2 linked regions of the Mytilus edulis genome follow. The protein of the gene in region 2 interacts with the protein of the main gene of each other region in a pairwise test. Links are inferred from orthologs where the notes say so. Each region holds a gene or a part of one and is shown on either strand. Other genes may lie near its edges. The genes, in order: proteasome subunit alpha type-6-like and syntaxin-16-like.

Region 1 (12,861 bases), on a different chromosome or scaffold from region 2:
AACAAAAATATATTAAAAAAGTTTTTAATATCTAAGGCAGACTAAGTATCTACCACATAAGGGAAGTGCTCCTGTGAGACTTCCCCCACCTCAGTAGTCATGGTGGTCATCATATCATTGTGACTCTACTCATCTCTAGCTAAAAATCCTATATAACCACCGTGGGATTCTTTAGTTAGGTCACTGTGCCAATGTAACTGGAGAGCATGATTTTCATGGTAAAGACTGAGTGAAATTCACTCAAAACCTGGACTTGTGGGATAGGAGTCCCGAGTTTGAGTGTAGAATCATGCTCGCAAATTACACTATAAAAAGTCTTTGCAGGGTGTGTACAATGAGTCCTATGGACAGTATGTCTTTGCAGGGTATTGACAATGAGTCCTATGGACAGTATGTCTTTGCAGGGTATGGACAATGAGTCCTATGGACAGTATGTCTTTGCAGGGTATGGACAATGTATGTCTTTGCAGGCTATGGACAGGGTTGGCAAAAACCCGGGTTTTATGAGTATTGCCCAGCCCTGCAGTCTTAAAAACATTCAAGAGCCACTCTCAAAAGAGTTATGAGAGACTTTTACATAAAAAAGGACAGCTCGATAAAAATACAAAACATTTTTTATCTATATAAAACATTCGTCCTTTGAATTAAAATATCATGGCAGATTTTGGCAGAATAAAAGCACAAATTTTCATTTGTAAATAAAAATATAAATTTTTCATCATCATTTAAGTCTAAAAAATCAATATTAAAAGAAACTGCTCTAGTAAAAACCTCTTGTCTTGTATGTGAATATAAAGGGCATTTGAGTAAAACATGTTTCTCATCTTCAATGAGTTTCTGTTGCATACATGAATCATTAAAACAAAATCTATTTTCACTTAAAACCCCTTCATATCTGCCTGTTTCAATTCTTATTGGCGCCACACCACATCGAAATTTAGCAAAGGCGCTTTTATATTTTCCTGGCATATGAACACTTAAATAATGTTCTTTATAATATTCTTGTTTAAATGAATGTTAAAATGACAATTCACTTAAAAAAAAGCAATTTTATCAAAGTTTGGATTATTGAAATAATGCTTGGTAATTAACAAGGTACAATATGTATCCTTAACCCTTTCGCTGATGAGTCCCGGTTTACCGGGATTCACGCTTCAGACAGCTGACGATGAGTCCCGTTTTACCGGGATCGGAATACCTCTTTTATATTTCCCGCTCAAAACAGTGCTAACATGAGTTATCTTTCTTTGATGAATACCCGGATGAAAGTGTAAACATGGCGCTTCCGTTTGTTGAAAACCGTGTCAAAATCAGACGAAATTTACGGAATTTACGAGAATTTGAAATGAGGGAAAAAAAAATTTGAAAGAATATGGAAGAATTGAAGCCAAACTAGTATACTTTTTTGACATAAAATGTTGTTTTATGTACAAAACACTTGGAATGGACATCATTCAGTGCGAGGAATTTGTACAGCCTCATAAAATTTTTCAAAATTTTGCCGTTTTGGGTTAAAAAATTACGATTTGGGTCTTAGAGCAGAATTTTGAGAATTTCACCTAGATAACGGCGAAAAATTGAAAATTTGAATATTTTATGAAGAATAAGTTATCAAAACATGAACAAAACTGTGAACATGGTGTTAGTGAATGAAATAAATACACAAATAACTACAAACAAGTTTTTATTGACATTTATTATGAAGATCTCCCACTTGAGTAATATAGTAGCCAGGGAAGCCATCGTCTCAGAGTAGCTTTTGTCTGGGCATCAATCGGTGAAAGGGTTAAACGTGATAATCTTATATTCTGCCTGCATATAAAATTAAGGAAAAACAAGTGAAATTGAATATTCATTCTTCTAAAAATGACTCTCAATGGTTATCTGTATAAAAAGAATGTATTTAGCTGTAATACTATGAAACTACAACAAGTCTTTAATATTTTGTGTTAAAAAAAAAGCTTAAAAAATCATATTGCCCAGTAATGCCCACTATTACCATTTCTGGGAGTATTGCCCAGCCCGGGAAAACCCGGACCTGGGAATTACCGGGTGGGTAATACTTTGCCAACCCTGGCTATGGACAATGAGTCCTTTGGACAGTTGGTCTTTGCAGGCTACGGAAAATATAGCTGACGTCTATGGACGTTGTGGAAGTGTGGATGTCAAGTCTCGAAAGGGTACATACATGTATAATATTGTCTGTATGCTATATGCCCTCCTGGGGCCCTAATTTGGTAAATAAAATATTCTATTCTATTCTGTACATGCCTTCTTTATTATAATTAAGTGTTCACAAATTCTTATGGAGATAAACAAAAAAGAACTTGTTCGGTGTGAGCCAAGGCTCTGTGTTGAAGGCAGAACATTGACCCATAATGGTTTACTTTAAGTCTTTTATAAATTGTTATTTGGAATAAATTGTTATTTGGATGGAGAGTTGTCTCATTGGCACTCACACCACATCTTCCTATATCTATGATAATAATAAGATATAATAAGATAAGATTCTTATGAAAATTTTGATATGAATACATGTAGATAACAATACACCTTATCGCTAATCCAGGCTGACCTGGCCGCTTGAACTTTTCACGTCAACAACAATCAGTTTTCCATTGTGGCGTCAGAAATTTTGTTTTATGACGTCAAAATTTTACGGGAACCTGTGTAATATCCAGTAATGGCAGACAAATAGCGATAAGGTGTATATGTTACAGGGAATTTGTGAAATCAGTGATTTTGTAAAATCACTGAAATTTCAGGGAATTTGTAAAATCACTGAACTGATTAGTGATTTTATAAAATATCTGATTTTGACTAGTGATTTTACAAAATCCCTGAAATAATTAAGATCTTTTTTACAGATTCACTGATTAAATTCAGGGAATTTGTAAAATACATTCATTCATTTTTATTAAGAATTTCTGTGAAAAAAGACTACAACAGTAACACTCAATAAGTTTGAGGTTAATTTAGTCTTTATTTTAATATTAAGTGAGCGGTTTTCATGCACAAAACAACTGACATACTGTAGAACAATGGCTCAGGCACAAATGTCTTGAAATCAAGAGCAAACATACACACAAAAGTTACTTCAAATAATTGAGGTAAAATTAAAGTGCAACATATGGAACCAGGGAATATGATAAACATTTTGGATTATTTGGTCAATGAGCCACAGAAGGAAGACAAAACAAGCTGTTATCACTACCGTGTTTGAAAGAAAGTTACTGTTTATTATAGTTTTTCTGTATAATTACAGTAGAAAATAAAACCAATTATATCAATTTTTTAAATCAAATATAAAAACTGATCAGAACATTAGGTTGATTGCTGTCATTAGAGAAGAAAAACACATATATGTAAGGTATAAGAAATTGAGTGGGTTAGGGTATGTGATCCAGTGGCAAATATTACATGCATATCAGATCAAGAGCATCTTATTGCTGCATGAAAAAGTGTTGTATTATTAATTTGCTGCCTATAAAATAACATTTATATTCACAAAATAATAATAAAAAAAGACAACAGAAAACATTGGTAAAAACACTTTGTTTTGCACTTGCATGTTCATGAATAGGTTAATCTAACCAAGCAAAAATAAACAAAGTTTTACCTACTTTGATCATTTATCAGACACATGTATTCTATCACAAAGTAGTATAACTTTGAATAAGTTTCTAAAATTTCTCAACTCTTTTAATCCAAATAAAGTAAATATTTTGTTGATAAATGAAGGTATGAAGTTCTTCAATGTGAAGATTTGAAAAAATTGTTAAAAACTATATTCATCAGATGAAGATGTTTTAAAAATATTATGTATGTCTTGAAGACATGTACAGCATAGTTAAGAGAATTCACATATCAATAGCTTATAGTGGTAGGGATGTCACCCAAACTTGTCTTGCAAAAATAAGCAAATTCAGAGTGGTCTAAATACCTGTTTAAATGCCTTTTAGTCATTATCATTATACACAAGTTCTAGCTCATAGAGTTTATTTATTAAACAAATATACATTGTATTTATAAATCATTAGTGATCATTCATTTGGTCTATCTTTATATTAAGAAAAACACATCAGTGCTCTAGCTAGAAATCAAAAGGGGCAGGGTGCCAGTGGAGGGCAGGGCACTTTTTATGATAAGAAAAGGCGCTGCTCATTTTTTTGTCTACGTTTCTGTGTGTATCACGAGTTAACGAATCTCTTTTTTTTTTTACTGTATATGGTTTTTTTTTTAAATAAAGATGCTTTTTAACTATAGTCTTTATTTAATTGTTTGTGTAGTTATGAATGATATAGTATATCTTCATCAACATATTATGTTTTTACAGTTTAACTTCACTCTACCCATTATCAAAGAATATGTGTTTTTCTTATCTATATAGGAATTATAGCTTTTAATACATGATATGATCTGAATCTGAGAGCATTACTAATTTAACAATGTCAATGTTTAGAACATGGATTGCTAAAAGTATAATTATCAAGTAGAAATTGCAATATATATTTTTTAATATGTTCAAAGACAGTTAATATCTTTAAGGTAACATTATTATGTTATTATATATTCAATTGGTAATTTATTCCTTTTTTTTTATACTAGATAATAATTTTAGAGCACAAATTTTTAATAAGCTAAAACAGGGGAAGTAACTCCAAAATCAATTCCCACCACGTTTGGGTTAATTAAAAACTGCTTGTCGCTAACAAGTTGAGATGGAAGGCATTTCTGTAAAGGCATAGTTTTATTTTGATGACTTGTATTCAATTCTAAAGTCATGAAAGTCTTCATTTATATTCGCTCTTCCATTGTGACTTGGAGATCGAAAATGCCGACCCAAGCTAAACACACTCGCTGACACATTCATCAAAAGTATGACAAAAAGATACATTGTCCTAATTAAATTACCTAGTTATTAACACCTTCGAAGTCTTTATCATTGTAATTGATTGTAATGACATGATTAACCCGGGGGCAATCACACAGGTGTCATATATGTAATTAACTTGGAGATCAGAAATCGATGAAACAAAATTTTACCAAAACGGCACAAGATAATTTTGGAAAAAGACGTCAGGGCAGAAGGGCGCGGATGAAGGCACCCAGGGCGCGGCTGAGGGCACCCAGGGCGCGGCGCCCTTCTATTTTGGGCTAGCAGCCACTGCACATTTCTAATAGCATGTTATACTTTTACAAAATCTCTAGCTCTATTTTTAGTGATTTTGTAAAATCCAGAACAATTTCAGGGATTTTACAAACCACTGAAACTGTTAGTGATTTTACACAATCACTGATTAGTCCAGTGATTTTACAAAATCCCTGATTTTACAAATTCCCTGTAACATATACTATCATGCTATAGAATGTTTATTGAATTATATATATAGCAGCTAGCTTTTAATTTTTTATCATAGATATAGGAAGATGTGGTTTAAGGTTCATCATAACCTTTTGGCTAAAATGGCCGTATTTACACCCCAAATTTTACTCCGAGTACAGACTAATCTATACACCTGCAACAGTTTTAAGGGATGGCAGGAACTAGATATATAAATTTTAAATGCATTTTATGTTTCAGAAAATTATAAACTTTTCTAGATTTTGCTATCCATTTTTTTTCGTTCCTGCAGAAGGTGCAAAAATTAACTAAGTAGTGAAAACGATTGAGAAGCTCCCCTCATATAATCAATGTTGTGAGTAGTATTGATTTAAATGGACAATAGATGGACAATAGACACCTGTAAACAATAGGTGATTTAACAGGTTTAAACTGTGTAACTGAGTGGACCGTATCAAATGAAACTCGGGTGTTTGTTTATTTTGCTATCTTCTGCAGACTGGAAAAAAATGAACATCAAAATCCAGGTAAGTTTTTAATTTTCTGAAACGTAGACTTCATATAACTTTTATATATCTAGTTCCTGCCATGCCTTAAAACTCTCCTGGATGTACCAGTTTGTCTGTACTCATAGTAATTTTGGAGGTGTAAACACGGCCATATTTTTCAATTCCTTATGATGAACCTTAAGAATTTATGTAGACCAAAAGTTCAAAAAGCTTTAATGATGCTAACCTCTAAGTCTTGAAAGTGGTGTGTACTGAACTTATAGAGACGTATGTAAAGTAAAAATATATGTGATAATGTGGTTGTCACCCTCCCCCTTTTTTCGTTTCTTCTTATCGAACCAACAGTATCCCTTACCAACTTGATAAAGTCGTCCTTCAGGAGAAAATATAGTAATATGTCTGTCGAAACCTGCACTGCTACCTCGAGACATCTTTTTATGAACAAATGTCCATGAAATTATAAAAAATACCGGGTGATAAAGCTCTTTCAAAAGTGCTGACTTTACTGTCTGATTTCGTATTTAAAAAAAAACTAAAATATCATAGAGTAAATTGATAAAAAGCATCAAGCCGTGTTATTATATTTTTATTTATGTTTTCCATTAATATAAAAGTTTCAATTCAAACTGAATATTATTATCAAAGCTAGCCTTTCTTTTTTATCATTATTTTTCGTACCGGAAGTCAAACCTAGCTGGCAGCTCGTCAATCAATCAAAAAGTTTTGTTCCAAGGAAATCACAGGTAAATTGACATTTATTCATTACGGTTCACGTGTCACACACATAAATAAACTAAACAACTTTCTGTAATAGTGATAGTGATACGGTTCAGGCCGAGAATGAACAATAAGAGGAGTTTTACAGTAAAAAAAATAATAACATGAAACCTTCTCACAAAAGGTACTGTAAACTCTTTACTATACTTAGTTATATGTGGCTGTCACATAGTAACATATTGTTACTGTTTTAATCAGCAATTATGTGCTTTTCCCCTAAAATGTCACATTTTTCAAACATATGGCGTGACAATACTGACATATTTTATCTTTTAGCCAGTGCATTATGTATTCACTTCATGGAATTAGGACCAATAATGACAAAAACTGGAATGGAAGAAAACTTTATATAAAACAGTAAAATGTGCAAAAATGATGTAAATTTTTGGGGAAAATATTCATGAGGTACTACATATTTTTTGGGAAAATATTCATGAGGTAGTACCTCACACTTTCAGCTCTTTTAAGAGTATTTACAAGGTTATTTTTTATTTCAACCGATTTTTCATGTAGAAGTTTCGAAGATAAATGCTTTCTGCTAGGCACTTGATACTTAGTGTCAGCTTTTTCCATCAAGTTTTTAAATTCTTCACTTTCGACAATAGAGAGTGGTAAAAGATCCCCAGCTATGAACATTATAAGAGCATTTGTCATTTCTAACTGTTTTGGATCAGACGGTGAATATTTTACACTTTTTTTTATGCATTGTGTCAATGTTGGTTGAATTTCTTTATTCTCAGAATGCAGAATGTACAATTCTCTGTGTTTTCTCTGAAAATTACAAAAGGCCTTATTTAATATCTTGAAAATATTAAATTGTTTTAATTTACCTATTGAAATTTTACATTTATTTAAATTTATTTGATTGTAAATGATACAAAAAAAGAGCACTATTTTTTATTTTTTGAAATGATTTTCATTTTTATCCCAGCTTATTCAAATTATTTATCTTAAATAAGTGATTTAGAAATCTGACTTCTTAAAACAAAAATAAACTTTAGTTTTAATCACAACTAATTAATTTAATAAACAAAATATTTTCCAAATTTAAATGTAAGCTATTAGAGGATATAAGATAAATGAAATCTGATTAGAAATGAAAAAGAAGCATTATGAATTTATTAATTTTTAAAATTCTTATATAGTATTACCTTCATATGTGTAACAAAGTTGGATGTAACTTTATAACTTCCACTAACATGACTAATGAGGGTGCCACAATGCATACATTTTCCTTTGAAAGTATTTCCATTTTGGAAGTCATCAGGAACAGTAAAATGTTCCAGTACACTCTTGGAGCTCATTTTTAAATCTGATAAAATGTTTTCTTTCAACATTCATATATATAGTGAACAAATTTTGCAAGTGAGATTTTGTCATATGCATTATCCCTTCAAGAATTTAAACATTTACCTATAGGCCCTAGGGGTATATTTATCTCTCTCTAATTAGCCTTATATCTGTTTAACATAACTGTTATAAAAACAGTCATTATATAGTTTGTAATAAAACAAATAGCCAGAGGTTATATTTATTGGTTATTTAAGTCCTTGAATAAAGTTAATTATGTTAAATCAATGTCTTAAAATATCTATCTAAATCTACTAATTAAGGTCAAGACAGTGACTTCCTAGTGGTTTCTTATGGCATGTGTCTACATTTTTTTTATCATTCAATACAAAATGAAGAATCTACCATGGTTGTGTTAATACAGAAAGTATACTGTGAAGGCTTTTCTTTGTCAGCTTACAACATTTGTTAAGATTATTGCTTTTAATAATTTTTTGAGAAAACACAAGATTTAATCTTTTGATCCAAAATTTCAAATGTAATTGACTTGTAATTGAAAAGTAATTGTCAATTACAGGCAATTTTGGCTATGTAATTAATTACATTCAATTACATGTAATTGAAAAAATGCTCAATTACACATTACATTCAATTACATGATAAATTGTAATTAATTACAGTCAATTACAATTACATATTTCAATTACCCCATGTCTGTGAGGTACTAATGTTAATATGATGACAACACTGTATGGTAGGAACTTTTCTGGTTTATACATCATACAATGTCAGGGCGGTAAATTACATAGAGGCATGTAGGTAGTTGCCTCCTATTGCGGGCTGACAAAAATAAAAATGGAAAAAAAAAAACCACTGAATAGAAAAAATTGGTTGAAATCATGCATTATTTTTATAGCACTGGTTGTAAGTTAAAACAACAAGGTGGTTAATCATAATGGCATGCAGGTGTGTTCAATATTTGGATCTGAACGGTCGGTACCCAACTCAACTCCTTTGCACACATAAAATTTTCCCACCAAATACTATTGCATCTGCATACATAGAAGTGACAATGTTGGGAATATTGAATGCATAGAAGTGCTAAAAAGATGGGATTTGTCCAGTTAGAAAAAAATTACCTTAGCATTTCACAAAGCCAGAATAAAACTTTTTGGTGTATACAAACATTGTTACGTTTTAATAATTTGAACTTGATAGATAAAATTATGAGTGATTGAGTATGCATTTTCATTTTAAGGTTTGAAAATTGTGTCTTTGAAACGAAGTCAAAATTAGTTCGACTTGGACCACAAAAAATGACCAACTTCAGGGGGCTTTCATTTTAAGTCTTTTGCAAAATTTTCCCTTAACTAAAGTAAAAATATCCTTTTCTGCATGGAATGGGTCAAAAAAAAATTTTGCCCTGCTCCGCTCGGCGATAATAAACTGCCTCCCCTTACAGGGCAGGCAATTTACGGCCCTACAATGTACATTTTGTTCAGGTTTATACCCCCCTTGTTTTAGGGTTGTGTATAAAAAAATCAAAGTGCAAAATTTCAAATATTAAAACAGCTAAGATCAATGAAGATAATGAACAAACTAAACAGGCAATTTTGTACATACATGGATACAATGTATACAATGAGAAACATCATTCACCATGTTCACAGCCATAATATTTATTGTAGCATTGCATTTATGTCAGATTCACCTGTTATGGAAAGGTGTACTGGAATACATGTAGGACCATAATTGTATTCTGTTTTTATTTCATATCTATAATAAACAAGTGCTTTCAGATGGAGGCATTTTTTATGTCATTTTGATCATATTTTAATTTAAATGTCCTCAATTTGAAACATTAGTCTGACAATATTTTGGTTAACACTTGAATTGTACATGCTGAATGTCACACAAGTACAACAACATGTAAGAATATTATTCATTGAAATTCAAATTTACGAAAACAGTCATGATGGTGGGGAGGACATGTACATAGTTTTCTGAATTCTAATAAATTTCTAAATGCATGATATTTTAACAAAAATGTAACTGAAGCTGTAAAATGATGTAATGGGTATATATTACATGTATTATATAGAGAATGGAAATAGGAATGTGTTAAAAAGGCAACCACCAGACTAAAGAGTAAAAAAAAAACAGCTGAAGGCCATCAATGGGTCTTCAACACAGTGAATACATTCCTTTTTGAGATTGATCTATGAAATTCAATTACTGAAGATATTCTGAGAGATTCATCTTGCAAATTATTAAGTTTCTGGAAAACTCAAAAACCAAAGATGCTATATATTTTTTTTTATTGCTTCAAATAAACAAAAAAGATTCTAAACATATATTCATTAGATTAAATTCAAAATTAACATTTTTATACGACCGTAATTTTTTGGTCGTATATTGGTATGACGTTGGCGTCATCGTTGTCGTCAAAAGACATTTGGTTTTTTGCACTATACATGTAACTTTAGTTAGTAAATAGAAATCTATGAAATTTAAACACAAGGTTTATGACCATAAAAAGAAGGTTGAGATTGATTTTGGGAGTTTTGGTCCCAACAGTTTAGGAACTAGGGGCCAAAAAGGGCCCAAATAAGCATTTTTCTTGGTTTTTGCACAATAACTTTAGTATTTATAAGTGAAGAGAAATCTATGAAATTTTAAATTAAGGTTTATGACCACAAAAGGAAGGTTGGGATTGATTTTTGGGAGTTTAGGAATAAGGGGCCAAAAGGGTCTAAAATTAAACTTTGTTTGATTTCATCAAAAAATGAATTATTGTGGTTCTTTGATATGCTGAATCTAAACATGTACTTAGATTTATGATTATGGACCCAGTTTTCAAGTTGGTCCAAATTGGGGTCCAAAATTAAACTTTTTGTTTGATTTCAACAAAAATTGAATATATATTGGGTTCATCAATATCATGAATATGCTGAATCTAACCATGTATTTAGATTTTTAATATTTGGGCCCACATTGGTCCACATTGAGGTCTAAGGGGTCTAAAATTTAACATTATTTGATTTCATTAAAAACTGAGTTCTTGCAATTGGGGTTCTATGATATATGCTGAATTTAACCATGTAATTAGATTTTGGATATTGGACCATAATAGGTAAATGTCCAATTTAAAATTTTTAAGTTTTTAAGTTTAAGTTCTTAGACCACATTCATTCTGTGTCAGAGACCTATGTTGTGTCAACTATTTAATCACAATCCAAATTCAGAGCTGTATCAAGCTTAAATGTTGTGTCCATACATGTAGTTGCCCAGACTGTTCAGGGTTCGACCTTTGCGGTCGTATAAAGCTGCGCCCTGCAGAGTATCTGGTTTGCATTGTAAACATGCATTATTTTCTTTAAGAATATTACATATACCGGTACACTGAAAACCATAAAAATGTTTTTGTTGGTCTTAGTTTATATCTTGACATGAATTACAGAGTTTTTTATGCATGTGTGAACTTCTTTTACAGTTATAACAGTAATCTATGCAATGAGGTTGCAAGTTTTAACTCTTGTAAAGGTGAAATCTATTTCAATCTTAAATGACGAAGATTGTCAGTTTTCTAGCCGTATATGTACATGTATGAATGTAGATTGTTGGTTTTTCCGAAATTTTTATAGATGCTGCCTTGCAAACAAAAAACTGGCTGGCATTATATGCATCGTAACATGAAGCTATTTTAAGGGCATTGAAAGTGGCACCTAACCAGCAAATTAAAAAAAAAACAACATTCATTTGTAGTCATTGTCAAAACTATATTCAAAATTAGGAAGACTATTGACTTAAGCCTAAAGTAAAAATAAATAAATTGCATAAAAGCATACTGTTCAAAACCTTAAGCACAATTTCCTGCTAGAAATTTGCTAGTGCTAATTAATTGTAACAGAAATTTCTAATTCTTATTTTAATTTTATAATACCTTATGCTACAAAAATCTATTCATAATTCGGCAAAATGCATTTAACATCTGATTGTATTTTGTTAATGCCAGCTGTTATTCAGGATTTTGAATGTTAACATGCATCACATCCTATTAGACATTATTTTCAAACTGGATTTTTGAAATAATCCCTTGTATACACGTACTTAAATGTATATTTACATTACACACATGTCACAATGCAAAAGCTAAAAATTATGCTTGTTTTCCCTCTATTAGACATGGTTTAATTTGCCAAAGTCTTTAAATTTTCAATAATAATTATGGAGCAATATGTGCATGTTTCAATTCTTTTCTTTAAATTTGATATGTTTAAACTTTTTATACTTAAATTTCTGTTTTAATGATGTAAATAACCATTTGGTTTGTTTTTGGTTTATTTTTTACTAGGGTGAAGTCGATGTTCTTGTTCTTCTTGACCCTTATTATCATGGATTAATTTGTGGGGGTTGATTATCTCAAGACATAGTACATGTAGTAGAGTTGAAAGTTACTGTTTGAGGTTGGCCTGGCTATGATGGTCATCATTAATACATGTATTACAACAAACACATTTTCAATTGAAAATGTTAGTAATATCAACATTCAAATATATGTACATTTGTACATTATGCAATCCATTTCACAATAACAGTTTATGATTTATATGTATTAACCATTATCTCCATTTTTGCCCTGTGTTTTTTTATATGACTGTTTTGCTTAAGTCTTTACATCAAACACGCTGCATTTGTTTGCACCGGTTCTAACTTAGGACTCCTTTACCTGAAAAGTTATGCATACCTTTATGACATAATTTACAAGATGAAGTGGACCACCTGTATCCTATTATAATTAAAGCTCATCAAATATTTTTGTGATCATCATTATGAAGGAAAAATTAAGAAAGAATTCCCTCTTTTTGACAACAGTGTTGATTATTACTTATTAGAATTTAATTTGCAGAACATTTCATGCAATATAGCATCCTATTTTTT
Region 2 (13,413 bases):
AGGACTTATTTAGCTTCAAAGTACCTCGTCTATAAAAAGGTTGGAATTTTTGTCCTAATTTTTTGCTTCTTAGTTATTTATACATTTTTAGCTCACCTTACCCAAAGAGCCAATTAAGCTTTTCTCATCACTTGGAGTCTGTCATCGTTGTCCAACTTCTCCTCTGAAACTACTGGGCCAAATTTAGCCAAACTTCATAAGGGTATCGTTCTGAAATGTGACCAATGACTTTGCATGCTAATCAATATGGCTAAAAATAGACCTAGGTGAGCGACACAGGCTCTTTAAAGTTTTATTAATATATTTGAATTATTAATTGTCCTTTTTTGTGAATAACACATATTTTTTTAATTCAAAATTTGGTTCAGTTTTCCAACAAAATTGAAAGATAGGTAAATGTGATATACAAGATGTTGACATATAGCACTTCATATTTATAAAGCAAGCACTTTTAAGGAATATGTCGTGAGTGATATTGAAATGATAAATGATAGTAGGGATTCTGTAATCACCTTGTGAAATAAGATTTTGTTGTTGTTAAGATACTGGATATAGCTAATGACAGCAACTAATTAGAATATTTAAAACTCATATAGAAGATGAGCAATATTAAAATATTAAAATGATAAATTCTTGTCAATTAAATTGAAATTGCTGAGGCACTTGTTCTACATTATGTGCTTAACATCCAAAAAAAATGTTATCTGCATGCAAAAAAAGAGACTAATACAAGCAGTTTATTGTATTTATTATATTTCTAACATTAAACAATAAATGAATGCTTAAATCATTCTTAATATCAGAAGTAATGCATGTTATAATTCATTATTGAATGATATAATTTCATACTTGTATGTACTTTCATCAAATTGATAGAATACTATATTGTGTATTAGATGTGTTCATACTTGTGTATTATATGAAAGGTGTATTATCATTTAACACATATGTTTTGGGAGTTTTGTTATTAAAAGAAGTATTGATAAAGCATATATAGTTCCTGGAATAGTTTTATACATATTCTATCGAAAAATTCTATAAAGGTGCTAGCTTTGAATTACATAATATTTTAATTCAGATCAAATCTGGTTTTGCACAAAACCCATAAAATTTTCTGAAATTCTCTGAAATGTCTATAGGAACTATACGACTATATTTGAAAGAAAACTTAATGATGATCATATGCACATGTGCATTTTTAGGCCTTTGTACAAATGTTGTATATTTCATTTTTTAGACCAAAATTTAAGTTGATGCACTGTTTTGTTTTCCATGGTCTTATTTTGTTTTGTTTTAGTTTTTTTTATGAAAATGTTTACTTTTTCCATTGTTATTCTTTTTGTTTGTTTAGACTGTTAATTTAATTAACTTCTTTTCTTAAGTTTTGCCTTATTTAAACTAGATTCTATGAAGTCTAGTTGAAGGTTCATAATTTCTTTTTGTTTTATTTAAGAAAGACACCAAATGAAAAGAAAACAAATTTATACTTTCACACCCTTAAAGTACGGAACAATAAAATGTTGTACAATTATGCGATACATTTCTGCTTTCTGACATTTAAAACTTGAAATCATAAACAGTGGTTGTGATAATGATGCCAAAATATAGGGATTTTCAGATGTAAGAAAGTAATATAAAGTCCCCTTGTACATATGTCTCATCACAACCATATCACAGCTTTTGATATTGTATTGAAAAGAAGAAATTTGGAGAGAAGTTTTGTAACGTATTGGTTGATACTTAATATGCAAGTTTTTCTTTCTTAAATATACTAGAACATGTGTCAGTTTGATGTATAATATTTATAATTTATTAGATAAGATGTTATTAAATACAATATCTTCTATTTTCATGATTTTCCTGTTACCCAATGCATAACTGTCTTATGAAATTGAATAATGTTTTCTCTTGGTTGGAATTATTACATGTGTAAATTAAAGCTTTTTCTTTCGAATACTTTTACAAGCTTTCTAGGTTACCAGTGATGTAAGTTCATCATATAACACTTATTATATAACTTTATAAATTTTCATAACTATAATTTATTAGAAAGACTTTCTGATCTATAAACTTAACATAATAATTTTCTAGGTTGATATTTGTTGACTTTTTTTTTTATAATACTGACTTTTGACTCCAATTGATATTTTTTGACAGGCTATACCTACTCTACTCTGTGGTAGGTCGTCCTGGTACCAAGTCCAGTAAATGCAACTTAAAGAAGTACATGTATAATCAAGCTTTCAATCTATACAAATGTTTGGGTGAATTGCTTTATATTTTCTTTGCACAACAAACACAACTGAAAACAGTAAACTTTTCCCTCAATTTCACCCATTATATGTTTAATTTTACTTTATTGGTGGCCCTTACTTGACCAAGTACCAGGAGGTCTTACCACAGAAATAGTTACCGGGGTACCTATTGAAAAATTATAAAGTCTGAGTTAAAAGTTGGTAATATGAAAATAGTCTATTGAAAGTGGGAAAAAAATATTTAACAGTAACTGTGCATTGACAACTCCTGACTTGAATTATTAAATGAGTGATGTATATATTTTATAGATGTTCTTTTATACAATGAAAATTACATTGAAGGCACCTTACTCTAGTTCTTAGTTGATTTATTCTTTCTCAAACCTTTGTAAACATAATCAACATCTGGTTTTGTCTTAACTTGTGCTTCTTCATTGGTTAAAATTCTCTTATCTCCCTGCTTTTGCGCAAGTCACTCAATCCAGATATATTTTGGGTTATGAATAAGTGATCATTTTGATTTTCAGTGTTTCTAATGGCCATGGTCTTGTCTGTCCTTTGTCTTATGTTTAATTTCAAATTTTCTTGTTAAGATTGTTTTGTGTTTTAAATTTAGTAGTTTCTTTAGGTTAGACGTCAACCAATCTTCTTTTATCACCAACTTCATTGTATTACTAGCAGAATTTAACAAGAGTAACACAAGATTGCCACTTGTGGAACAAGAGTAGCATCCTCTTTGATTCATGTTTTTGATTATTTTTCTCTGACCTTTTTGACACTGGTACAATTTTTATATGTGACAACTGTGGAGAGAATAGAAATATCTAATGAAGACTTACATTAATAACATTTAGTTGGAAGGTATGGATTCTTTCCATTATGTTTTTCACAAATTTCTATTTAAGAAGTTTTGATAAATTTGTTTCTTACATTACAACTTTGCCATCTGGTTAATTAAAAACAAAATCACTGAAAACATAAAAAAAAAAAAACCTGATCCCCATTACTAAGAGAAATATAAATGCACAAATTTTTCGAAACAGCTTTTAACTTTTTTACAAAAACAAGTGAATGAAGTGAACAGGTATAAGTTATTAGACAAAGGTTTACAAGACAAAAAATGATATAAATAATTTATTAGACTTAAGGTGGTACCTAACACTTTAACTAAAATTAATTTGGCTCGTTTAATTTTCTTAAAATTTTGACAAAGTATTTACTTTGACCCTTTGACAAAAATATAAAAATTTCAAAAAATTTGAACCAACCGTTTAATCAGAAAAATTACACTGGTTATATAACAGTTTGACAAACACTTATTTTGATCATTGAGAAGCTTAATATTCCCTTATGAACACAACGTCATTAAAACGTTCTGCTGATTTTACAGAGTTATCTCCCTGTAGTGTTAGGTACCACCTTAATATAGGGAAAGGAACAAATGAACAAAAGGATATATATTTGCTGAATGACATCTACCTGTTGATTAAAAAAGATTGATATTTTATACTAGTTTATATGTAGTTTTCATTTTTCACATCATATTTCAATATTAGTATTGGATAGTCTTGGACTCTGGGTTCAACCTAGTATAATTCTTTGTTTCCTCATTTTTAAGTGCTATGTCCTGGAACTGACAGGCGCAAACTTCAAAATAACAAAGCCAAGCTGGGTTATAAAATGACCAGTACTTTAAGCAAGGGTGGAATGGGATATTTAAAAATAATTTATTATGGCTTGTTAAAATTTAACTGACCAATTATTCCAGTCATATGTGTGTGCAATTTAATCTGCAATTGAGAATACTTCAATGGTTTTCGGTGTAAAATCATGTAATTTATTTATGTGCTAAGCCACTGCTAACTACCTGCTTTGAATGTAATACAAGTAATCAGTTGTATATTCAGTATGTAACATTATAGATGTAAACATTTCTAACTGATGTTACACAACCATCATTTCTACTGCTTCAACCATTTGTTACTTTCATGGGACATCATTGAAGAATAGAATGGAGTAAGTCCTGAAATGAAAGTGTACAAGTCATTTAGTTTGTTAAAATAAACTTTTATGATGATAGTGATTTTATATTTATTGCCTTAAACACTGACACATAAGAGGAAAAAGTCATGATTTTTGTTTTAAAAAACAAACAAATATTGTATTGGATTCATAAATCATACTTTGTTTCAACTGTTAGGTTTGATCGATATTGAAAATAATGCACTTCTAATATACCCCAATGGCATTCATGAAAACAAAAGAACACATTACATAACACATTACAAAAATGATTTCAAAGAAAGCCTTAGTTTATTTTCTGAAATAAAATAATCTACTGGGCAACATTACTGTCACATCTAAATAAAAAGAATGGTGTCACTACTGGTTTGAAAGAAATATTTTGATTATTCACATCTACAAAAAAATGTGTAAAATTGCTACTTTTTGTAGAGATAAATCTGTATGAAATTTCACATCCGACACCTAGAAATTCTGAAGTCAGAACAACTTAATAGTTCTCCCGTTAACAGCCATGAATGTTTATTCTCAGTCAACATGAACAGCTGGTGGTGAAAAAAATTGAATAAAGTTCCTCAGATATTCCAGAGGATAGAATTACCATATGAACCACCTTAATATATCTAACAGTTCAACTCAACAACAACTTGGGTCAAATTATGATTAAAGTGTATTTTAGCAACATTTCCTGGATATTTCTTTGTTATATTATTTCAAAAATGAGATAAATGTGTAAACATTATTATAAAACAACATAGAAAATTTATTAAAAGCAAAGTTGCTTCAAGTCCCTTGATTTAAAAATCAAGATTGAGAATGGAAATTTGGAATGTGGCAAAAGAAGCAACAACCTGTCCAAATAGTCAAAAAACGGGCCAAGGTCAGATCTTAAAAGTTTCATAATTAGTAGGGAAAGTAAAATCACAAAAAATGAACTCCAAAGAAAATTCAAAACAGAAAGTCCCTAATCAAATGGGAAAATCAAATGCTCAAACACATCAAACAAATAGACAACAACTGTCATATTCCTGACTTGGTACATGCATTTTCTTTAGTAGAAAATTGTGGATTAAATTTGGTTTTATAGCTGGCTAAACCTCACTATTGTAGACAGAAGTTTGTTTCATTGAAATAAGTAAAATTGTATAGTTCAAGCTTTAAACCTTACTTTTTTTTCCACAATGAAATAAAACTTAATATATTTTCCTTGGTGTGTGCATCTCCTTTTATATAGTCATCATCAAAATAGGATGTGTTAAATAACCAATGAAAAAAAACCAATCCATTAAAAAAGTAAGATTAAAGAGTGAATGAATAACTACATACCTTCAGGTGATTGTATAGCCTTCAATTATAAATGAAAGGTAAGTGATTAAATATGGTACAGTTTATGCAGCTGTGTGTGAATCATTACCATGCAGTATATATATAATTCAAAGGGAACAACCACTTAACTTCAAGTGAGGAGGGGGGGGGGGTAATTTTTTTTGCCTTTAGTTTGATTTTTCTTTCTTGGAAAGTGCAAACCTTTTTTTTTTTAGTTTTTCAATGCTGTCAATTTTTTTCAAAATTTAACATGCACTATGGCATTGGAAAAATCAGCATTCAAAATTATTTGTTTTTTTACAAATTGAGGATCAGAATACACAAAATATGACTACCTGAGCACATGCAATTAATATTTAAGGATGTCTGCTGGTCATGTTTTTGAATTCTTGTCATATTTTCGATTTTCTCAGGTTTTATCCATCCAAATGTATTAAAAAAAATTTTACACGACACCCCCCTTTTGTCTTCATAAATCTGTTCAATAGATCATTTCAGATTTAGTGATCCGGCGGCATGAAATCCTTGTTATTTTTTCTTGGTTTAAAGGGTAAAAAACAATTCCAATGTTAACAAATAGTAAAGTCTGAAGAAAACCCTTTTCCCGCCATTTTCTAAATGTCTCGTATTTTGAAAACTACACACGATACTAATGATTTTATTACTTTATTTTGTTTAAATATCAAAGTTGTTTTCATTTTAAGCAACCACATGAAATCCTTGTTATTTTAAATTAGAGCAGCAGACATCCTTAAATGCACAATTATATTTATTGCAACATTGATGTGGTGTTCCTGCATAGGAGGGATATACAATTACAATAGAAACTATTTTTATTTTTTTCTAAATACTCTTATTGATACATTAAATAATTATTATAATATAATAGATACACTTTTACATGATCTTGCATATATTTAGAATTGAATTCGATAAACAAGTCGACCAATACGTGTTACGGAGCACCGGAGTAAACCATGTGAGAAACAAACAAGACTTTTATTTACTGCGGATGATGGATTTGATGAAAACAGTTTCCTGAAAATTTGACAGTAGCCGGCTTTCTTGAAGATATTCTGTAGGAGAAAAACACAAAGAGAAAACATTAAAATGGCAACACGAAGTTTAACAGAGGTTTTCATTTTGATGAGAAACAATGCTTTACAAAGTCGTCATATGTTTTCTGAACATGTAAGAAATCAATAGAATTAAGAAAACAAACTATAATACTTTTAATTTTCGTTTCATCATCATGTACATGTATGTCTGTTTTCTTCAACAAAAACTTTCATTATATTCAAACTTAAAAGATCTGCATTGCAATGTATGTTATAAGACATAAGAAGATGTGAAAGAGGTGCGAAAAATACCATAAACTCATACTCAAATTCAAACTCATAGTCATAGATTGAAAATAAACTGACTCAACTACAAATGTATTGCAATGGCACATCAAAAGATGTAACTGAGTGGGGAAATACAAAGATGGATAGGTGCCCACAGTCCCACTCTCCCCCGTTTCTGTTTGCCTTGGGTCTGTCCATTATCCTGGTTTGATTGTTTGCCATTATGCCGGCATTATTTACATTTTGAGAGCAAAAAAAGAGGAGCTGGTTTAATAATGTAAATATTGAAGTAATTACATTAAACTATGAGTTTTCAATCTGTCTGTACATCAGTGTATTTTGCCCTTATCAAAACACAACTTATTACAATAACCATACGAAAAGCCTAAATATATTGTTTATCTTTTGAAATTGAAACAGTATCCAAAAGTAAAAAGCGACACACACAGAGGCATATCTTTCAAGACCAACAAACACTTAGGCCAAATAAAAATATATGTGTGGTTCCAGTAACCCGACCGACCCTAGAACTTTTTTTTTCATTTCTGAAAAATAAATTTTCAAACGATCAAATTTTGAGGATTGTGAATTAAAATAATTAAATTCAGATTTCTGTCATAAGTATCTGTTATGGCTAAAATGCAAGAATTCATAACTAAATGCAACAAAATTAACTAAAAACATATCATGACTGTTTTAGTTTACAACCAAACACATGTAAAAATGGTGGACTTCCGGTTGGGACGTATATAATACCCTATTTTTTAAAAGTATGTAACTGGAACCATACATATATTTTTATTTGGCCTTACATGTACAGTGGAATCCCCGGTGTCCGCCAACCGGTGATACCGTGCATTAGCTGATTTCGTCATATTACCACAGCAACACAAATAAAATTGTTCTTGTTATTGTTTTAGTATTCCGAAGGTATAAAAAGAATAAAATTGATAAGTTCAAGAGTTAAAATATTACTGCAATCCCATGATTTACAATATTTGGCCAATTCCCATTAAGAAAAATTACATCTGACATCAGATAAAATGTGTTTTATTTAAGACAAATCTATATCAGATTGAAATAATTTTTGCTCTGCATGCTTGGCAGTGTGTTTGGTTCAAATTCAGGCATATTTCGTAGCAGAAAATCTTTCCTTTATTCAAAATAATCTTTGTTTGGAAGGCATGCGCAAAATCACTGGATATTGGAGGAACTGACTGACTGCACCATACTGAACAGCCTTGCAATTAGTTACTTAAAATTCATCACCACACAAATAAAAACTGTTGCCTATTGTTTTTGTTTTTTTTATTATTATTATAACCTCTCTGAAATTCTTTATTGGGTCTTGATCATGATGGCAACATAAAAATGGGATAAGAACAGCCATGCAAACCTACAAAATAAAAAATAAAAACTTGTTAATTAAAAATCACAATGATTAATGTGCATGTTCTGACATCCAAAACATTTAATTTTAGGTTAATGATGACCGGATGGCACTTGTTTCAAATGCAGCTTCTGATATGGAAATGGGCAGTATTAATACAAAATCATCAAGACTGCCTCCAGAATGGTAAGTACGACTAACGATATATTTTTTTTTCTTGTGACACACAGAAAAAATTAGGGTCTATAGTTTATTTTTAGATATTTTTTTCATGTATACATCTTAATAGGTGTAATACCACCAACCAAATCATGGTACATTACATCCGGTTGTAGACCAAAATTTGGTCGAAAAAAATATTCCCTTGAATAATTTACTTTCAGGGGAGATAATTCAAACTTTAAAAACAAAAATTCAAAGATTATATTGACTTATACAAGGTTATGCTTCTTACATCTTAAAGCAAATAAAAATGACTTGTACAAGTATTATCCCTGACTGTTTAGTAAACACTAAATGTACCTCAAAAGTATAAGATCAAGACAAACTGCAGGAACAAAGTGTTTTACTTTCAATAACCAAATGGTTTGTTAATTGGTACATTTTTAAGCTTTAATGCATATTCCAGGCAGTTGTATTAATTAGACTTTTTCAAATATAGTAAGCAGGTAAAGAACACATGATACTTTCATCACAAACACCATAGCCCTTAAACATTATAAAATAGTCCATATTGTTACAAAAAATAAAAATAGAGGCAATAAACAAATAAATATAAAATACTTTTTATTCCACTTCCTATTTCAAGTAACAAAAACCAAAAATAACAATGAACAATTTTTTTTTTAATTTTAATTTTGGAATCCTACATAGACATGATATGTTGACAGAGTTGTGACAAGATGGCCTTGAAGCAGACAAAAACTTGATGTTTATCATTAGTGCACAATTAGTAATATCAAGCAAAGAAATCAACAGATACTGAAAACTGTCATGAAAATGTACACTTTCTGTAGACAATAAAAAAAATTGACTGATTTTGATAAATCATGTTTATTTTTTTTCCAAAAATAATGGTAATGATAATTATTTGAGACCTCTGTTTCTGAAGCATCACAGTAAAAGTTTAACCAATTTGACACTAGTAGTAGCCGAAAATGACCATTTCCACCTGACAGTAAAAGGCATTCATACCCTCTTACATAGCATAATAAATACATTTTACAAATTATTTTGACAGGGTAGATGGAGTAGAAGAGGTACAATATGAAATGACAAAAATCAAAACTAAAAGTAAGTATACAGATTTTTTCAGATTTCAATTTACATATGTAGATGTAATTATTGCAACCATTGAAAATGCAAATGTACCCATTTCTCATTAGTTAACTTTTTGGGTAAAGATTGCATGAAATGCTATCAAAACCCTATGGTACTGACTTGATATCTAAATCTTCAAAGTTTTATCACTACCTTTGAGATCCACACAATATGGTGCATTGATCATAACATTCTTAACATCCTATCCGTGAACATTACCAGAAATGTATCAATAAAATATATACTCAGATATTCAGTTAAAAAATTATGTTATACTTGTCAAAATTAGATAACTTTTGCAAGGTACATGAATCTAATTAATATCTATTCTATAAATATCAATGATGTCATCTTTAAGAATAAGAGTTATCTTCCTTTGTTTAATGGTTTATAAAATGCAATTAAATTATTGAATTTTACTTTCCACTTATAAATTGTAGCAATCTTCACCATTCAGTGCTTACAAACACTTAGGTTTCACAGTTTGGATAATATGATAGAGATTTCCAAATAATATATCCCAAATTTTGGTTGGTCAGGCCAAAATAGCTATTTTAATAAATTTTATAATAATTTTAGAAATTTACAGTATGCAGAATCATTGTTAGCTGGAAGGAATTGTTAACTTGAACTTAATGTTATTGACTGGTTTTGTCGGGTTAAACAATTGGACCTTTAACATAAAACTGCATATTTTTGATTTTTTAGTGAAGGAACTTGCAACACTCCATGACAGACATTTAAACAGACCAACGTTAGATGATAATGTGCAGGAGGAACATGCTATAGAAATAATGACACAAGATATTACACAGGTTTGTTTTCATGTTAAGGGAGATGATTTGAGATATAACCCAAACAGACAGCAACCCAATGACACAAAAAAAACCAAGAAGACATGAAGTAGTCTATAAATATACTTCAAGAATAGACCATTGTAAAGCTCTATATGCCTATCGCATACTCAATTGTGTTTGTAAATTTAACAGAAACCATTAAAAACTACTGTCCACACTGAAGTCTCTGAATGACAAAAATTAGAATACAACTAAGGAGCACCACTGACAATGTTCCTGACATAGGGAGGCACATATACTTGTTTCAGATGTTTAATCTCAATCATTTGAATATCAAAAGGTATATAGAAAAATCAGGACATAGAAAACATTTGATGAATTATATTGCTGAAGTAGATAGTCAAAACACAATTGTATGCAAAACAATAATAAACTCTGCCCTAGCAAAGAGTACACAATTCAATCATCCAAATAGCACAATTTTATTAGTAACATTCAAAATATTTCATACTGTGAATTCACTTATTTTTCATTGGTAGTAATTTTCTTTGATTAGGAATATTTGATTCCATGATTTTGCTAAAGTCTGCATACAGGGAAATATATTTAATGTTGTTCAGTTGAATTCATTGTTTATCTTTACCATAGAAATCCATGAAAATTTATATCGAACGAATAATTTTGAATCAAGAGTAAACAATTAGTTTTCTTGCAGATGTTTACCAGATGTCAAATAACAGTTCAGAGAATAAGTCACAAAGGAAACCATGGGACAGAGCAGGAAAAAAGACTAGCCAAAAATATAGTATCATCTGTGGCCAGATCACTACAAGATATGTCATTAAATTTTAGAAAAACACAATCAGATTACCTCAGAAGTAAGTTGTTTCATCTTTTGATAGGGTAGACTAGAAATTCTTTGATACTGACACTGATGACCAAGGATTGTTCCATTAAAACATACATGATACCCAGTGAAGGCACTTTTAAAAAGGAAACCACCTATAGAGTCAACTTACAATTTCACTTGCATATCCGCTATACAAAAAGATAGATGACACCCTACCATTGTTCAGATTTGGAAGTGCCTTCCCTGGGTTCCATGTATATTTTTATGGAACATCCCTAAAATAGTCAAGAACACAATTGTATAAATAGTAATATGACAAAGTCATGTAAACTTGTCCTATAACTTTGATTTTATTGTTACATAAAAACATTTTCACTGAAACCTTTAAGTTTTTCTTCGCTTCTAAAAGTCGGAGCTTCTTGTTGACTGATACAGATCTTCATCTGGTTATTTCATACAGTATTACACATTTACAGTTCCTTACTTGTAACTTAATTAATGAGTCAGTTTTAGTCAAACCAAGAAACTGTACATTTGTAATAGAATAAACTCAGTAAATTTGGCATCTTAAGGTGGCTCGGGCATATATGAAGTTTCTATCAGAAGTGCCGTATTTGTGTTTATTTTATTCTTTACAGAAAGTGAAACAAAGTGGTAGAAAAAAAATATGGGGTCACTGACCATTTAAGCTCAAAATTTTACTTTTAAACAGGTGTGTAAAAGGGATCGTTTTTCAATGAAATGGTAGGGAATATAGAGGTGTTGACATATTTTTATCGGAATATCAAAAAATTTCTATGACACTTGGTCCAAAACTCTTATATAAAAAGCTGAAATATAGCTTCAAACAGTGAGCAAATAAAAACATAAGTCATCAATAAAAAAAAAATATTTTGCTTTAAAATCCAAATTTAGGCGGGAAAATGGTGAAATTGGGTGAAATGTCATTTTGAGCCTTTCACAGATACACATAATAATGATAATATTTTTTGAAGGACATAACTACAATGAGTTAATATTTCTAATCAATCAAAATATTTTAGAAAATATTATCGAATTTACGACACATACTTTTCGTGTGTATTGAAATTCTTGCATGAAATTATGTGCCGTCAAATAGTCCGGATCCACCGTACCTTAAACATTGGAATATGAAAACCTAACCTGTGCACAATTGAAATATTCAATACTAGTAATGTTCTAATCAGACAAGCATTGCTTTTATTGCTGTTTTTCATTTTGACTTTTGTCTTTTTGATAAAAGGTAGAAAAATCAATCTATTAGCTAAATCAAGATAAAATGTGGAATATGGATTCATTATTAATCACATATAATTTCAATGTTTGAAGATTTTTTAAATCATGAATTTAAATATAAATGGATATCAATGAATGAAAGTATTTACATCAACTGCAGACAGCTCTGAGTGTCACAAGTAAGAAATAGTTCTAATTGGACAAAACTGTATTTTTCTATATTTATTCAAAAGTGAACAATTTCTTCATTTTTCATTTCAGAAATAAAAAGTAGAGAAGAAAGATCTAGAGAATTTTTTGATACAAATATAGGTCCAAGCTCAGGGTCATTTATGGAGGAAATAGAACCTTTTGAAGATGTATTTGACAAGGTAATGGAGAGAAGCTATCTTTGTTCATCATTTAGAGTTGTGTTTGATGATTTCTATAGATGCAAAATAACAAAGGCGTAATAAAAATCTTATTTTATAAATAAATAACTTCATCAAAAACTACCTTGACCAAAAACTTTAACCTGAACTTTGCACTATCATTTTCTATGTTCAGTGGACCATGAAATTGGGGTCAAAACTATAATTTGGCATTAAAATTAGAAAGATCATATCATGGGGAACATGTGTATTAAGTTTCAAGTTGATTGGACTTCAGCTTCATCAAAAACTAACTCAACCAAAAACTTTAACCGGACGGACGAACGGAGGCACAGACCAGAAAACATAATGCCCCTCTACTATCGTAGGTGGGGCATAAAAAGAATTAGTTTATGAAATGATACGGTTTTCTTGCTTTATAAGCTTGCCAATGAATCACTTCATGTATAACCTGCGGCATTTAATACTTAAATCTTCCT

What was found.
Region 1: the proteins of syntaxin-16-like (region 2) and proteasome subunit alpha type-6-like interact in a two-hybrid assay, tested with the Caenorhabditis elegans proteins (3 studies listed by BioGRID). The link is inferred for Mytilus edulis from reciprocal best matches to the Caenorhabditis elegans genes syx-16 and pas-1.

The regions. Positions count from the first base shown.
Region 1 is NC_092346.1:58,860,955-58,873,815, forward strand, and holds the start of proteasome subunit alpha type-6-like, read right to left. Parts: upstream 6,376-12,861; 5' UTR 6,285-6,375; coding exon 6,209-6,284; intron 1-6,208. Other genes in the region: adenosine 3'-phospho 5'-phosphosulfate transporter 1-like, read left to right, coding at 6,735-6,754. UniProt on the Caenorhabditis elegans protein: The proteasome is a multicatalytic proteinase complex which is characterized by its ability to cleave peptides with Arg, Phe, Tyr, Leu, and Glu adjacent to the leaving group at neutral or slightly basic pH.
Region 2 is NC_092348.1:67,002,592-67,016,004, forward strand, and holds the start of syntaxin-16-like, read left to right. Parts: upstream 1-6,589; 5' UTR 6,590-6,713; coding exon 6,714-6,794; intron 6,795-8,430; coding exon 8,431-8,525; intron 8,526-9,579; coding exon 9,580-9,632; intron 9,633-10,367; coding exon 10,368-10,474; intron 10,475-11,171; coding exon 11,172-11,334; intron 11,335-12,824; coding exon 12,825-12,934; intron 12,935-13,413.